Coturnix japonica: one gene and its partners. The protein of the gene in region 1 interacts with the protein of each later gene in a biochemical or structural test. Links are inferred from orthologs where the notes say so. Each region holds a gene or a part of one and is shown in the gene's direction. Other genes may lie near its edges. The genes, in order: natriuretic peptides A, NPR2 and NPR3.

What was found.
Region 2: the proteins of natriuretic peptides A (region 1) and NPR2 form a complex in vitro, tested with the Homo sapiens proteins (3 studies listed by BioGRID). The link is inferred for Coturnix japonica from reciprocal best matches to the Homo sapiens genes NPPA and NPR2.
Region 3: the proteins of natriuretic peptides A (region 1) and NPR3 form a complex in vitro, tested with the Homo sapiens proteins (4 studies listed by BioGRID, with this or other methods). The link is inferred for Coturnix japonica from reciprocal best matches to the Homo sapiens genes NPPA and NPR3.

What each region holds. Positions count from the first base shown.
Region 1 is NC_029536.1:4,846,531-4,850,894, forward strand, and holds natriuretic peptides A, read left to right. Parts: upstream 1-1,437; 5' UTR 1,438-1,651; coding exon 1,652-1,771; intron 1,772-3,047; coding exon 3,048-3,333; intron 3,334-3,618; coding exon 3,619-3,635; 3' UTR 3,636-4,325; downstream 4,326-4,364.
Region 2 is NC_029547.1:8,341,032-8,344,502, reverse strand, and holds part of NPR2 (atrial natriuretic peptide receptor 2), read left to right. Parts: intron 1-883; coding exon 884-1,083; intron 1,084-1,153; coding exon 1,154-1,267; intron 1,268-1,680; coding exon 1,681-1,816; intron 1,817-1,928; coding exon 1,929-2,023; intron 2,024-2,100; coding exon 2,101-2,233; intron 2,234-2,318; coding exon 2,319-2,403; intron 2,404-2,475; coding exon 2,476-2,596; intron 2,597-2,963; coding exon 2,964-3,038; intron 3,039-3,117; coding exon 3,118-3,195; intron 3,196-3,311; coding exon 3,312-3,416; intron 3,417-3,471. UniProt on the Homo sapiens protein: Receptor for the C-type natriuretic peptide NPPC/CNP hormone. Has guanylate cyclase activity upon binding of its ligand. May play a role in the regulation of skeletal growth.
Region 3 is NC_029547.1:9,260,921-9,264,568, reverse strand, and holds part of NPR3 (atrial natriuretic peptide receptor 3), read left to right. Parts: intron 1-417; coding exon 418-540; intron 541-3,648. UniProt on the Homo sapiens protein: Receptor for the natriuretic peptide hormones, binding with similar affinities atrial natriuretic peptide NPPA/ANP, brain natriuretic peptide NPPB/BNP, and C-type natriuretic peptide NPPC/CNP.

The sequences.
Region 1 (4,364 bases):
GTAACAGACCCTGATTACTTAAAATTGGACACTCGGTATTAATGAATACCATTTATAATGTTGATAGTCATCCATTCTCAGCTTACAGAATGAAGATGAGTAAGAAAATACCTGCAATTAATGATCGAATTCTAAAGACACTGCGGCAAGGAGTGTCAATAACAAAGCTGCCAGGCTGGTAACTCTTTCTTTACCACAGTTTGAACAGGACTAAATATCAACAGCCTGGAACACAGAGTAATACAGAAATGAGTGCTGCTTCATAATAGCCCATATGGGCTATACCAGGAAAAAAAAGCAGTATTTGGGCTCGACTTTGCAACCTTGAGAGTGCCCTTTCCTGTGTCATTTTGGTAGGCAGATCATGTGAACAGTGTGTCTGCCTGTTTGTACACAAACACTGCTAAGACACAAGAAGATATTTCATTGTTCTATTCTTATTTAGAAGCTGTACCCTGGAGATTATTTCAAGAGCTACATTCCTACTAAAACTCAACCAATTATTACAAGGCTGACATAGGCAACCTTGTCACAGATCTGCTCTTGTTTCAATTTTGAGTATAAGGAATGTCAGGAAAATGCAGCACAAACAAAGTGCTTCGGGGTTTGAAATATGTAATGAGTAGCTTTTATTAGTTGCCCTAAAGATGATGCTGGAAGAAGCAGATCTGCATCACTGTAAGTTCTCATTTAAATTGAGGCAGTTTTCAGCTTAAGCTTGAAAACCTTCAGCTCTCAAAGAAACCAGCACACAGAAATTATTCAAGAATCTGACCACCTCCTCTTTCAATATTATTAATGCAGGGTCAAACCTTAACACGAATGTTTAAGGAAATCCCACTGTTTAAATGTCTAGCTGTTAACAGTATAATAAGAGAGCTTTGCCGCGCTGCCGAAGTCATTTCCATGGGGCTGGAGGCACTCAATGTCCCCACAGCAGCCGTGAGGAGGTGTAGATTGGGTGCTTCTGTTGTTGGCAACATACAAACATAAAGTCTTAGCTGTGATCTCACCTCTGCAGCGATGGGGAAAGAGAAATGGCCCAAACCTGAGATTTTCATCACACTCCGTGGTATGCAGTGGCTACACGTATTCCTTATATAGAAGGAGAATGCACAAGGTTCTTTCGGCATCCTAAAAGTAGATTAATCTTCAGTCTTTGCTCTCCACCAAATACTCATCGGAAAAGCTTCTTGCTTTCCTTATAAATACTAATTTCCCTATGGAAATCTTCTAACTGAGAAGAGTTTAGAGCGGTTGTTTCCCACCTCTGTAAAATCTGACCATAGGGGTCTCTTGAAGGAAAATTGCTAAGAATTTCCAACTGGACTATGTAATCACAGCGCCTGGTATCAAGAGGAGGGGGAGTGACATGAAATCACTGACTTGTGACATACATTCCTCAGCAACAGCAGCTGCTGCCTAATGACAGCTAATAAAGGGAATCTTCCCTTGACAGAGCCGCATGCCTGCAGTGGGACTGGAATGCGCCCCAGATAAACCCCCTGATAACCCAGGAAGCAGAGATCACACCAAACCATATAAAAGACGAGCTTCGAAAGAGAGAGAACAGGAGAAAGAAGAGAGAGACCTGAAGAGCCAACTCGAAGAAACAGCTTGAACTTCCCATATTCCCAACGAACCCAGCGCCATGGACACTAGAGGCTCATTTTCCTGTGGTTTCCTCTTGCTGCTTCTCATCCAGCTGCAGCCCAGCAGAGCCAACCCCATCTACAACCTCAGCCCTGCCAAAGAACTGGCCAGCATGGAGGTGAGCGGAATCTTTGTTTTTACAGGGTTACACTTTCAGAGGGGGGCTTAGAAGTGCATGCAATGGTGTCTTTGCCTTTCTTTTGTATGGTCAGATAGCTACGTTAGAAATTGTATGTAGTGTTTAAAGTCTTGATTCTTCACAGGGCTTCAGGGAAGCTTTGTAGGGCAATACCCTCCAGTGCTGGGATCACCCAAGTTGCTGGGTGGCAATGGGAAACAGAATGTGAGATGTCTGCTCTGGGTTTTCCCCCTTCTCTTAATCAGTCGCCTCATTTTGGGTTTCTTAATGAATTAGAGCAATACCCCGGAGTAAAAACATAGCAATGCATCATGGCATCCCTACAAAAATAAATAGAAAACTTTCAAGTGGGTTTATCCCATTGAGTGGGATAGCGAGGACAGCCCTACTGCTTTGGATTTGGGGATATGAGAGAATAGAGCTGCCTGCGGATGAAGAGGTAAAGCAGAGCTCTCAAAGTCTTGCACAACTACTTGTGCAAACCGAGAGGAACAGTGTGATCATGTAACTGTGACACAACTCACCCTGAAGCAAGACATAAGGTTCACTTCTCCCTAGCCTACTTCCAGAGATGGACAATCAGGTCCTTCTAAATGGATGAGATGTCCTTGAGCAGGTTCCCTGTTATTCAGAGCTTTAGAAATTATAGAGAATAATACTCAGAAGGTTAGATAGCAGACAACTTTTTCATATAGGTATTGTTATGGAGATGCATATTGCTTAAAAGAGCAGAAATCCTGTAACCTCTAGGGCAGAGATTAGCAGAAAACACCAGGAGCTTCTCACAGTGATGCCTACTGCAATAATTAGAGGTTACAGGCAAGCAGATGACTTTAGTCAGAATAAGAAGAGAGAGATAACAGGAGATCAGCAGCAATGCAGGCAACTTCTGGGAACATGGGAGTCACTATGGGTTCAGAAGTACTCTGAAATCGTTTACTGTTGCTGGGTTGAGTGGTATCTCTTGTTTTGTTCCTGTGCCAAAAGCTCTTCTATCCATTCCAGTGAGACACACTTCTGTGGCAGACAGCTTCAGTCAGCTCCCAGCTACAGCTAGAGATAGGTGGAATTAATATAAACAGAGATTTAACACAGAGGACAGAGCTCAGGAAGCACCAGCATCTCTGGAATCCAACCTTAGAGACTCCTTAAAGGTGGCTATAGAACCATAGACAAATTCAGAGTCTGATGAGTGGAAGAGCTAATAAATGATCATGAAACCAGGAGTCTTATGAAATTAATCCTTCTCTCATAGGCTCTTCTGGAGAGACTGGAGGATAAGTTCGCACTGATTGAAGCCCTGGAGTCCAATCCTGACCTGCAAGAGCCCCAAACCCAAGAGGAGATCCCACCAGAACCCATAGATGACAGCGATGAGCAGAAGGCTGAACCCAAACTAGCACCCAGCGCTCCTCTGTCCTACAGGAACCCCTTCCTCAAGAGACTGAGGGGGCTGCAGATGCCCAGGATGATGAGAGATTCTGGCTGCTTTGGCAGAAGAATCGATAGGATTGGCTCCCTGAGTGGAATGGGTTGCAATGGTGAGTCTGACTTAAGCCATTCTAGTGAATAGGATGGGCTGTATTTAGGTTTTTGCAGCAAGGGAGGAGCAAGATTTCATTTAAGTCTTTAATAATAAGAAGCAGTTAAATGCTTTGAGTAAACTCTTTAAGAAAGGAGCTTGTTTTAGTCTAACCTTTAAGCTAATATTGGCTTTCCAAAATAAACTTCACATCTATTGATTAGACGGATGAAAGCACTGCTGACAATGGTGGCAGATACTGAAAGACTCCAGTAACACTTAACACTGCATGTTTGGTTTGCAGGTTCCAGGAAGAATTAGGAACACCTCCTGACCCGTGCTCTGAAGAACGCTTCACAGAACCTGTTCCTCCCATGATGAAAGCCGGACTAAGCTTTCTAAACTCATCAACAGAAAGTTATTCCTATTTTTATTTATTTATTTATTTATTTATTTGATCTCTATCTCTACTCTTTTTCTTAATAACATTTCTAGCACCGTTGAGACCATCTTGAAATAAAACTAACACGTTAGATATCTATGCTGGACCTCTCTCCTGTCTGTTTGCATTAAAATTTCTTGTATTTTCCTAAAGTCAAAAGCCTACGTTTTATTGGTACTCTGGTACCCACAAGGCTGGATCTCACTTACACGAGACCAAGAAAGTATGAAGCTGGATAAAGAATGAGTTTTTCCCTAGAGGTTTCCTCTCCACACTAAGAAATTACAACAGATTAGAAGGAGGAAAAAGACAAAAGCTTGCACAACATTGGAAGACCCACAACATAGATGTAGTTTCAGTGATAAGAAAGTCCTTTTGCCGGTACACATTACTCAGCCAATGCAGCTGCCACTCCACTGCCACAAATCCCTCACGTAAGCAAAGTTTACAAGAAAAGAAGTAAAAATTATTGCAAAACTCCACGAGTTACAAGCTAGCTAGAGGGAGGAAAGGGAATTCATTGTATATGCTTTCTAGCACTGACCAAATAAAGGCTATAAGCATCAACAGAAAGATACATCATTGACTGCGTCTTGTCTCACTCTGCA
Region 2 (3,471 bases), on another chromosome or scaffold:
AGAGCCTGTCCCTCCCCGTGTGCAGTTCTCCAAGGGTTCTGCACCCGCGGATGAAGGCTTTCACCAAGTTCAGTGTCCACATATGCAGATGCTGGCCCCGATCCCCCCGTCGCCGTGCACCCAGTCCCAGCAGTGCCGGGGTTAGGGCCGTGCACGGGGCCAGCAGCTGAGCGTGACATTCCTCCGGCGCCCGCCGCCTCCTCCCCCGTTGCTCAATCGTGGGTTCCCAGCCAGGCTGGCTGGAGCGGGGGCCCTGGTTTTCCGGGGGGAGGGAGGGAGGAGGCGGTGGCAGGAGGGCCCCTGCTCGGGGGGGTTCCGGACGCTCTCTGCACAGCAGCCCACGGGGTGCCTGGCTCCATAGCAGGGTACCTGCTATCAGCGCCACGCATCGCCCATCTCTGTGTCCCTGTGGGGTTGATAGAGGCGCAGTCATTGAGCTGTGGGGCGGTGGGGGTGGTGGGACGGGGCCCGGGCACCCCCTTGGCTCTTGGGTCGCAGCAGCAGATGCTCTGTTTCCAATTAATGCTGTGGCCGGCCGAAGGTGCTGGAATCCGGGAACCTGCGCATTCCTGCCGCACGACCGACCGCAAACCCAAACATGTTTTTGTCCCTTTCCTCAGCCTAGATTCCCCAGCGGGCTCTGGGGCATGGCCCTGACGCCTTTCCCAGCCTGATATTCCCCTTCCCCAAAGCCTTTGAGCCAAGGTGATGGCACTCTACAGCGCGTGGTGCACAGGGCATCCATCCACCCCATGTGCTGGGGTTCCCCTTTCCCCCCATACCGGATGATGTGCCATGGGCACGTCCAGGCCAGCAGGGCTATGGGGTGACCCCATGACTCTGTGAGGTGGGAGCTGTGCACTGACACCCCCCATCCTGGCAGTGGTGTACCTGTGTGGGCCGCCGGAGATGCTGCGCCGCATCATGCAGCTGGCACAGCGCGAGAACCTGACCAACGGCGACTACGTCTTCTTCTACGTCGATGTCTTCGGGGAGAGCCTGCGGGGGGACTCTGCCCATGACGCCTTCAAGCCCTGGCAGCAGGGTTCAGGGCAGGACGCGGGGCTGCGTGAGGCTTTCCAGGTGAGCTGCACCCTCCTACATGGGGGTTTGGGTTGGGATTTCAGTGTGACGTGCGTTGCTGTGTTCGCAGACTGTGCTGGTGATCACCTACTATGAGCCCCAGAACCCTGAGTACCAGCACTTCCAGACCCAGCTCATCCTGCGTGCCAAGCAGAAGTTTGGGGTGCAGCTCAACTACTCCCTGGTGAGCTCTGCATGATGTGAGGACTGTCCCTTTGGGGTTGCAGAGGGTTGGATGTGGTGGAGGGTGATGACATATGTACCTGATTGGAGCAGTGCAATGTGATGATGTCCCTGCAGGGCTTGTGAGTGGATGTGGTACAGGGTTATGGGGTTGTAGGGTGGTTGTGGCAGCACTGTGGGCTTATGGGGGATGTGCATGGCCCCACTGTGGGGTTACAGGGCTGCAAGGGCATGCATGCCACCAATTCAGGGTTATAGAGCTGCTGAGGTGTGCATGTACCTGCTGCAGGGTAACGGAGCTGCAGGGTTGAGCATAGCCCCGCTGTGGGGTTGGGGCTGTAGAGGTGTGCATGGCTCTGGCACAGAGTGGTGGGCTGTCAGGGAATGCATGCAGTGCTCAGCTCCCTCCTGCAGATGAACCTGGTGGCGGGGTGCTTCTATGACGGGGTGCTGCTGTACGCCATGGTGCTGAACGAGACCCTGCGGGAGGGCGGCTCCAAGAAGAACGCCACGCAGCTCATCGAGAAGATGCGGGACCGCAAGTTCCAGGGTAGCAGCAGGGAGAGGGGCTGGGGGGGTTAGGGGGAAAGGGAGGAGGGCAGGTGGGCTGCAGGGATTGGTCCTGTGCTCCATATTCCACCTGGACCTCACTTGTGCCATAGGGGTGACGGGGCTGGTGAGCATGGACAGCAACAACGACCGTGACACTGACTTCAACCTGTGGGCCATGGGTGACCCCGAGAGCGGGCAGTACGAGGTGGGGGCAGCACTGGGGTCCTGCTGGGGGATGGGGGCAGTGTGTGTGGGGGTCTGGGCTCAGCTGTCTCCCCACAGGTGGTGGGACACTACTCGGGTGCAGAGAAGCAGATCCGCTGGCTGGGGCGGCCCATCCGCTGGGTGAAGGGGGCTCCCCCCTTGGACAACCCACCCTGCGTCTTTGATGTGGATGACCCCTCCTGTGATAAAAGTGGGTGCATGGGGTGTCCCACTCTATCCTTCCCTTGGGGTGTGCAGCCCCACACAGTGCTAACAGCCTCCCTAACCCATGGCAGCCCCCCTCTCCACATTGGCCATCGTTGCTTTGGGCACCGGGCTCACCTTCGTCATGTTCGGCATCTCCAGTTTCCTCATTTTCAGGTGGGTATGGATATGGGGGCAGCAGGGTGGAGGGCAGTAGGGATGGGCAGGCTGACCCATTGTGTCCCCTAGGAAGCTGATGCTGGAGAAGGAGCTGGCCAGCATGCTGTGGAGGATCAGATGGGATGAGCTGCACTTTGGGAGCGCAGAGCGGTACCATAAGGGAGCAGGCAGCCGGCTTACACTGTCCCTGGTGAGACTTCATCCCTCTACTCCTGTCCTGTCCTCCTGCATAGCCCCATGTCTCCTACGGAGTCATACTGTACTCCCTGTGTTCATCCATCCCTTGCAAAGCTCTCCATCTCTTTCAGAGACACGTTTCATTCATGCCCTTCCATCCCCCCACAGCCCGGAGTCCCTATGGAGCACCATGCTCTATCCATCCCCTGTGAGGCCCTTCATCCCTTGTAGTGCTACATCTCCACAGCCCCCCATGCACTGTAGCACATAGCCTATAGACTTTGCACTCCCTCATGCTGACCCTGCAGACCAGACCTTGTCCTGCCCCTGCCCTGCTCTGTGGGTGTGTTGTCCCTGTCCCTAACACTCCCTCTCTGCAGCGTGGCTCCAGCTATGGCTCGCTGATGACCACACATGGCAAGTACCAGATCTTTGCCAACACCGGACACTTCAAGGTCAGTCTGCACCCCTATGGGCTGCCAGCATGTCTCCCCAGAGCTACCTGGTGAGCACTCACCCCTCCATTGTCCCCAGGGCAATGTGGTGGCTATCAAGCACGTCAACAAGAAGCGCATTGAGTTGACACGGCAGGTGCTCTTTGAGCTCAAACATGTAGGTGTGGGGTCTGGGATGGGGTCTGTGCTCTGCTGGAGTGCAGTATCTGCTCCTTGTGGTGGTGGGTCAGCGGGGTGCTGCCTCTCCCCACCAAGCTCTGCTTGCACCCCCAGATGCGGGACATCCAGTTCAACCACCTGACACGCTTCATTGGGGCTTGCATCGATCCTCCCAACATCTGCATCGTCACTGAGTACTGCCCCAGGGGCAGCCTGCAGGTAGTGAAGGGACACAGGAGGGTGGAGGAGGTGGGGAGGGGAAGGGGAGATGGCG
Region 3 (3,648 bases), on another chromosome or scaffold:
AAAGAATTGAAATGGTAGTGCCATTGTATCTTATTACTTAATCTTCAGATTGTCTTATGTACACTTTGAAGTAATAACTAAGATTTATGGTTGCAATTAACTCTACAAATGTATATAATAGAAGAAATTTGAAGGCAGAATTTTTCCTGAGCTGCCGGAGTAAGAAAATTAGATAACGTGTTGATCTACTTAATTATTTTCAGAGGAGATGTGAGTAAAATTTCACTCTATGTTTGATGCCCATCTTCTGTCAGCAGTTTAGGTAATTAGCTTTGTTAGTTCTTTATGTTGTCATATTTGTTGCAACACTGAGAGGACAGCTCAGGTCACTGTCTCTGGCAGCATTCATGCTAAAGAATCTGTTCCATAAAGTTCTTGAACTCTTTCTTATCTGTGTTTTCTGTTTTCTTCCACCAGTTGTAATCATGTGTGCCAGCGGTGACACAATCAGGAACATCATGTTGGCTGCTCATCGGCAAGGAATGACCAATGGGGACTATGCTTTCTTCAATATTGAGCTCTTCAACAGCTCATCATATGGTAATGTTTTTCCTGCCCGAGTATATTACAAAGTCTTTTGTAAGCCTGGTAATACTTTTAGGTTTGTTAGTGTTAAAACATGCTGCACTGAATGCACCACCATTTCTCCATGTTTTTGCAGTTACCTTCTTTTTAGGCTATAACATTGCAGAAATTGCAACTGAATGGATTACAGGATATTGAAGAATGGTTTTAAATTAAAAGAAAGTAGATTTAGGTAAAACATGAGGAAGAAATTATTTACCTAGAGGGCCAGAAGGCCCTGGTATGGCTGCCCAGAGAAGCTGTAAATGCCTCATCTCTGAAGAAGTGAACATGGCTGGGTTGGATGAGGCTTTGGGTAGCCTAGTGTAGTGAAAGGTGTCCTTGCCCTCAAGAGGGATTCAGAACTAAAAGGTCATTAAGGTACTTTCAAAACCCAAGCCTTTCTGTGATTCTAGGAAATGCACTACAGGCATTATTGAGAGGAGGCATGAGGGCTGGCAGTGAGAATGTGCAACTGCAGGTCCAGGGTCTCCGGAAGTCACTTATATGCTAGGATTTCCATACATCCTGTTTACTTTTGATCAGAAACTGTGTGTGCAAAACCATCCAGCCCTGCTGTGTTGAATAGAAGGCACTGGTAAACAAGAGCACAGGCTGTCTAAATGTGCTAGGTTTGGATAGATAAGAGCAAATTACTTCATTTCAAATAAACGTGACAAGATGTGTCAAGTTAAATCAGCTGAAAAATTAAATATATTTGCTTTTTTAAATACACCCCTCTTCAGTTACATCTGTTGTTATGGCAGTGCATGGTAGAGACTAAACCTAATCTCAGCTGCCTTAGTTAAATGGAAGGCAGTACTGGCACAATGTGTTTACTGGCAGTTCTATAAAATGTCATATGGCTGAAGCTGAGCGAATTTTCTGTCCGGGAACCTGATTTTGTTGAAGTGTCAAAGTGGCTTTTGAACCAAGCAGCTTCTTTCGCAGGTGCAGAGAAAATATTTTTCCTCCTGCAGCCTGCCCTAGCTAATTCAGTGCAATAACAGATTCATTTCGAATTGAAAACCAGGTGGGAGTTGTAAAAGAAGGAAAACTTGTTTTCTTTCAATCCTTGAAAAGCTGATAAAGAGGAAAAAAAGACATTCACAAAAAGATGAGGTATTTTGTTTAATGAATCAGTTAATTGCAAGTTAAATTCTCTTACATAGACTTCATTATCCATCTATCACCCCTGAGATTATTTAAAGAAACGAACAGTGCTGCTTGTTGAAAAGCTTTATAATGAACATGTGTTACTGCTTAAATTCGGAGTTGTAGATATTTAAAGAAGCAAAGATAACACTACATGTGTCCTCTAAGTTGGCTAAGGAAGTGCCAAGTTCTACCAGCCAATAAGGAAATTACTTCAGTAACTAAAAGATAAATTGGCAGACCAAGATCAAAGCCAATGATTCAAGTCATGGTGGTCTGTTTGGTCTGGTTCTGACTGAAATTGAGAGTGACTTCACCCCTTGTGTCGTAAGTGAAGCATTTGTCATTGCAGCTTCAATCAGGACCAGTCTAAAAAGGTGAAGGTTTACTTATGTCAATAGTCACAAAACTGGCTTTCTGTAGACTGTGGGAGCTTTGCAGACTTGATTTCACTTCTGCCTAGACACCATTGATCATATAACCCTTCTGGCTGCTGCTAGTGCTTCTTACTGCTATGCTGCTGCTATATTTCATCTCAGAGAGTAAAATTTAATTAGAATTGATTCATCTGGCCCCAAGTACAAGTCTCCATGTGAGCTAGGCTCCCTTTAGAGTCACAGGAAAAAGTTAGGCACCCCTGGGTGGTGATTCACCTCATCCTGAAGTGTCTGAAATGGCCTGGATGAATTGCTCCTTAACACTGGTGATTTTGTTACCTTGGATGAAGCAAGCAGAGTGACTGGCTGGGGTGTAGAGGCCCTCTTGGAGCAGGAGCTTCTTGTGTAAGAGCAGCAGCTGCAGGAGGTATGCTGCTGCATTTTGTAATGTGTTTTGCATTTCAGGATGGTGTTGACTAGGAAGGAATGTTGCAAAAGCCCCTAACAGGGATGTGCCCATTTGTCTTGGAGGTCTCAGCATCCTCCTCCTTTGCATTACAGTTAGTTCAGTCTACTTATTGCTTTTCCAAGGGATAAATTACAAATATCTGCCTCCTGTCTATGTTATCAGAAATTCCCTGGTGCTTCTATGGAATAATTCTTTTAATCATTTTTTCTGTTTCTTTGTGAATTTTTCCAATGAGGAGCAAAATAACTGTTGGAAACTGACTTGAGGTGGTCATTGCACACTGGAAGCAAATGTGGTAGGGAAGTGTAGAGACATTTTCTGTGAATTCCTTGTTCCCAATGGCAGGAGGTGCTGGAATTTTAAGAGACACATGATTTAAGAGTGGATGTGACAGACGGTTGGCATTTTCTCTTTCAGCTCAGATGACTGTGTTGCAGTTTGTTGTTGCCCTCTGTTCTGAATATTTTTAATTTTTCATAAGAGCAGACGCATTTAATGCCAAGACTGCAATAATTGCAGATAAGTACTGTGGCAACACTACATCCCACAAAACAATCCATGAAGGAATTTAAATATGGAAATTATTTTAGGAACTCTGTTATGCAAGTATAACTTCTTGTTCCCAGTGTCAGTATTTTTAAAAATAAATATGTATGATGCCCAAGACAGAAATTTATTCACATTCCAACAGTGCTGTCATTTTTTAATGTGAACCCACTCTTCTTAGTAGTCTGCCTTAGCAAACCCCTCCATGTTACAATCTCTGTCATACTTTTCATGTGCTGCATCTCCGAAATGCAGGTACCCAACTGGGACAGAGGTTTTTCAGCTTTAAGACTCCAGCAAGGTTTGTGTCCCTTTCTGTATCTTCCCATTTATTTCTTTTCCAAAGGCAGTAAAAAGGACTCGGTACTGCCAAGGAAGGAAGCAGTGCTGCCACTCAGGGCAAAATCATGCTACAGGATTTTAGCTGCTGTCCAGTGTTTCCTTGCAGCCGTACAAACGGAGTCTTGATACACATAATTTTGACCCTAAACCAAGTCAAGTTTCTTGAGTTTCTTCAAAAGAGAATGAAAGAGCTGC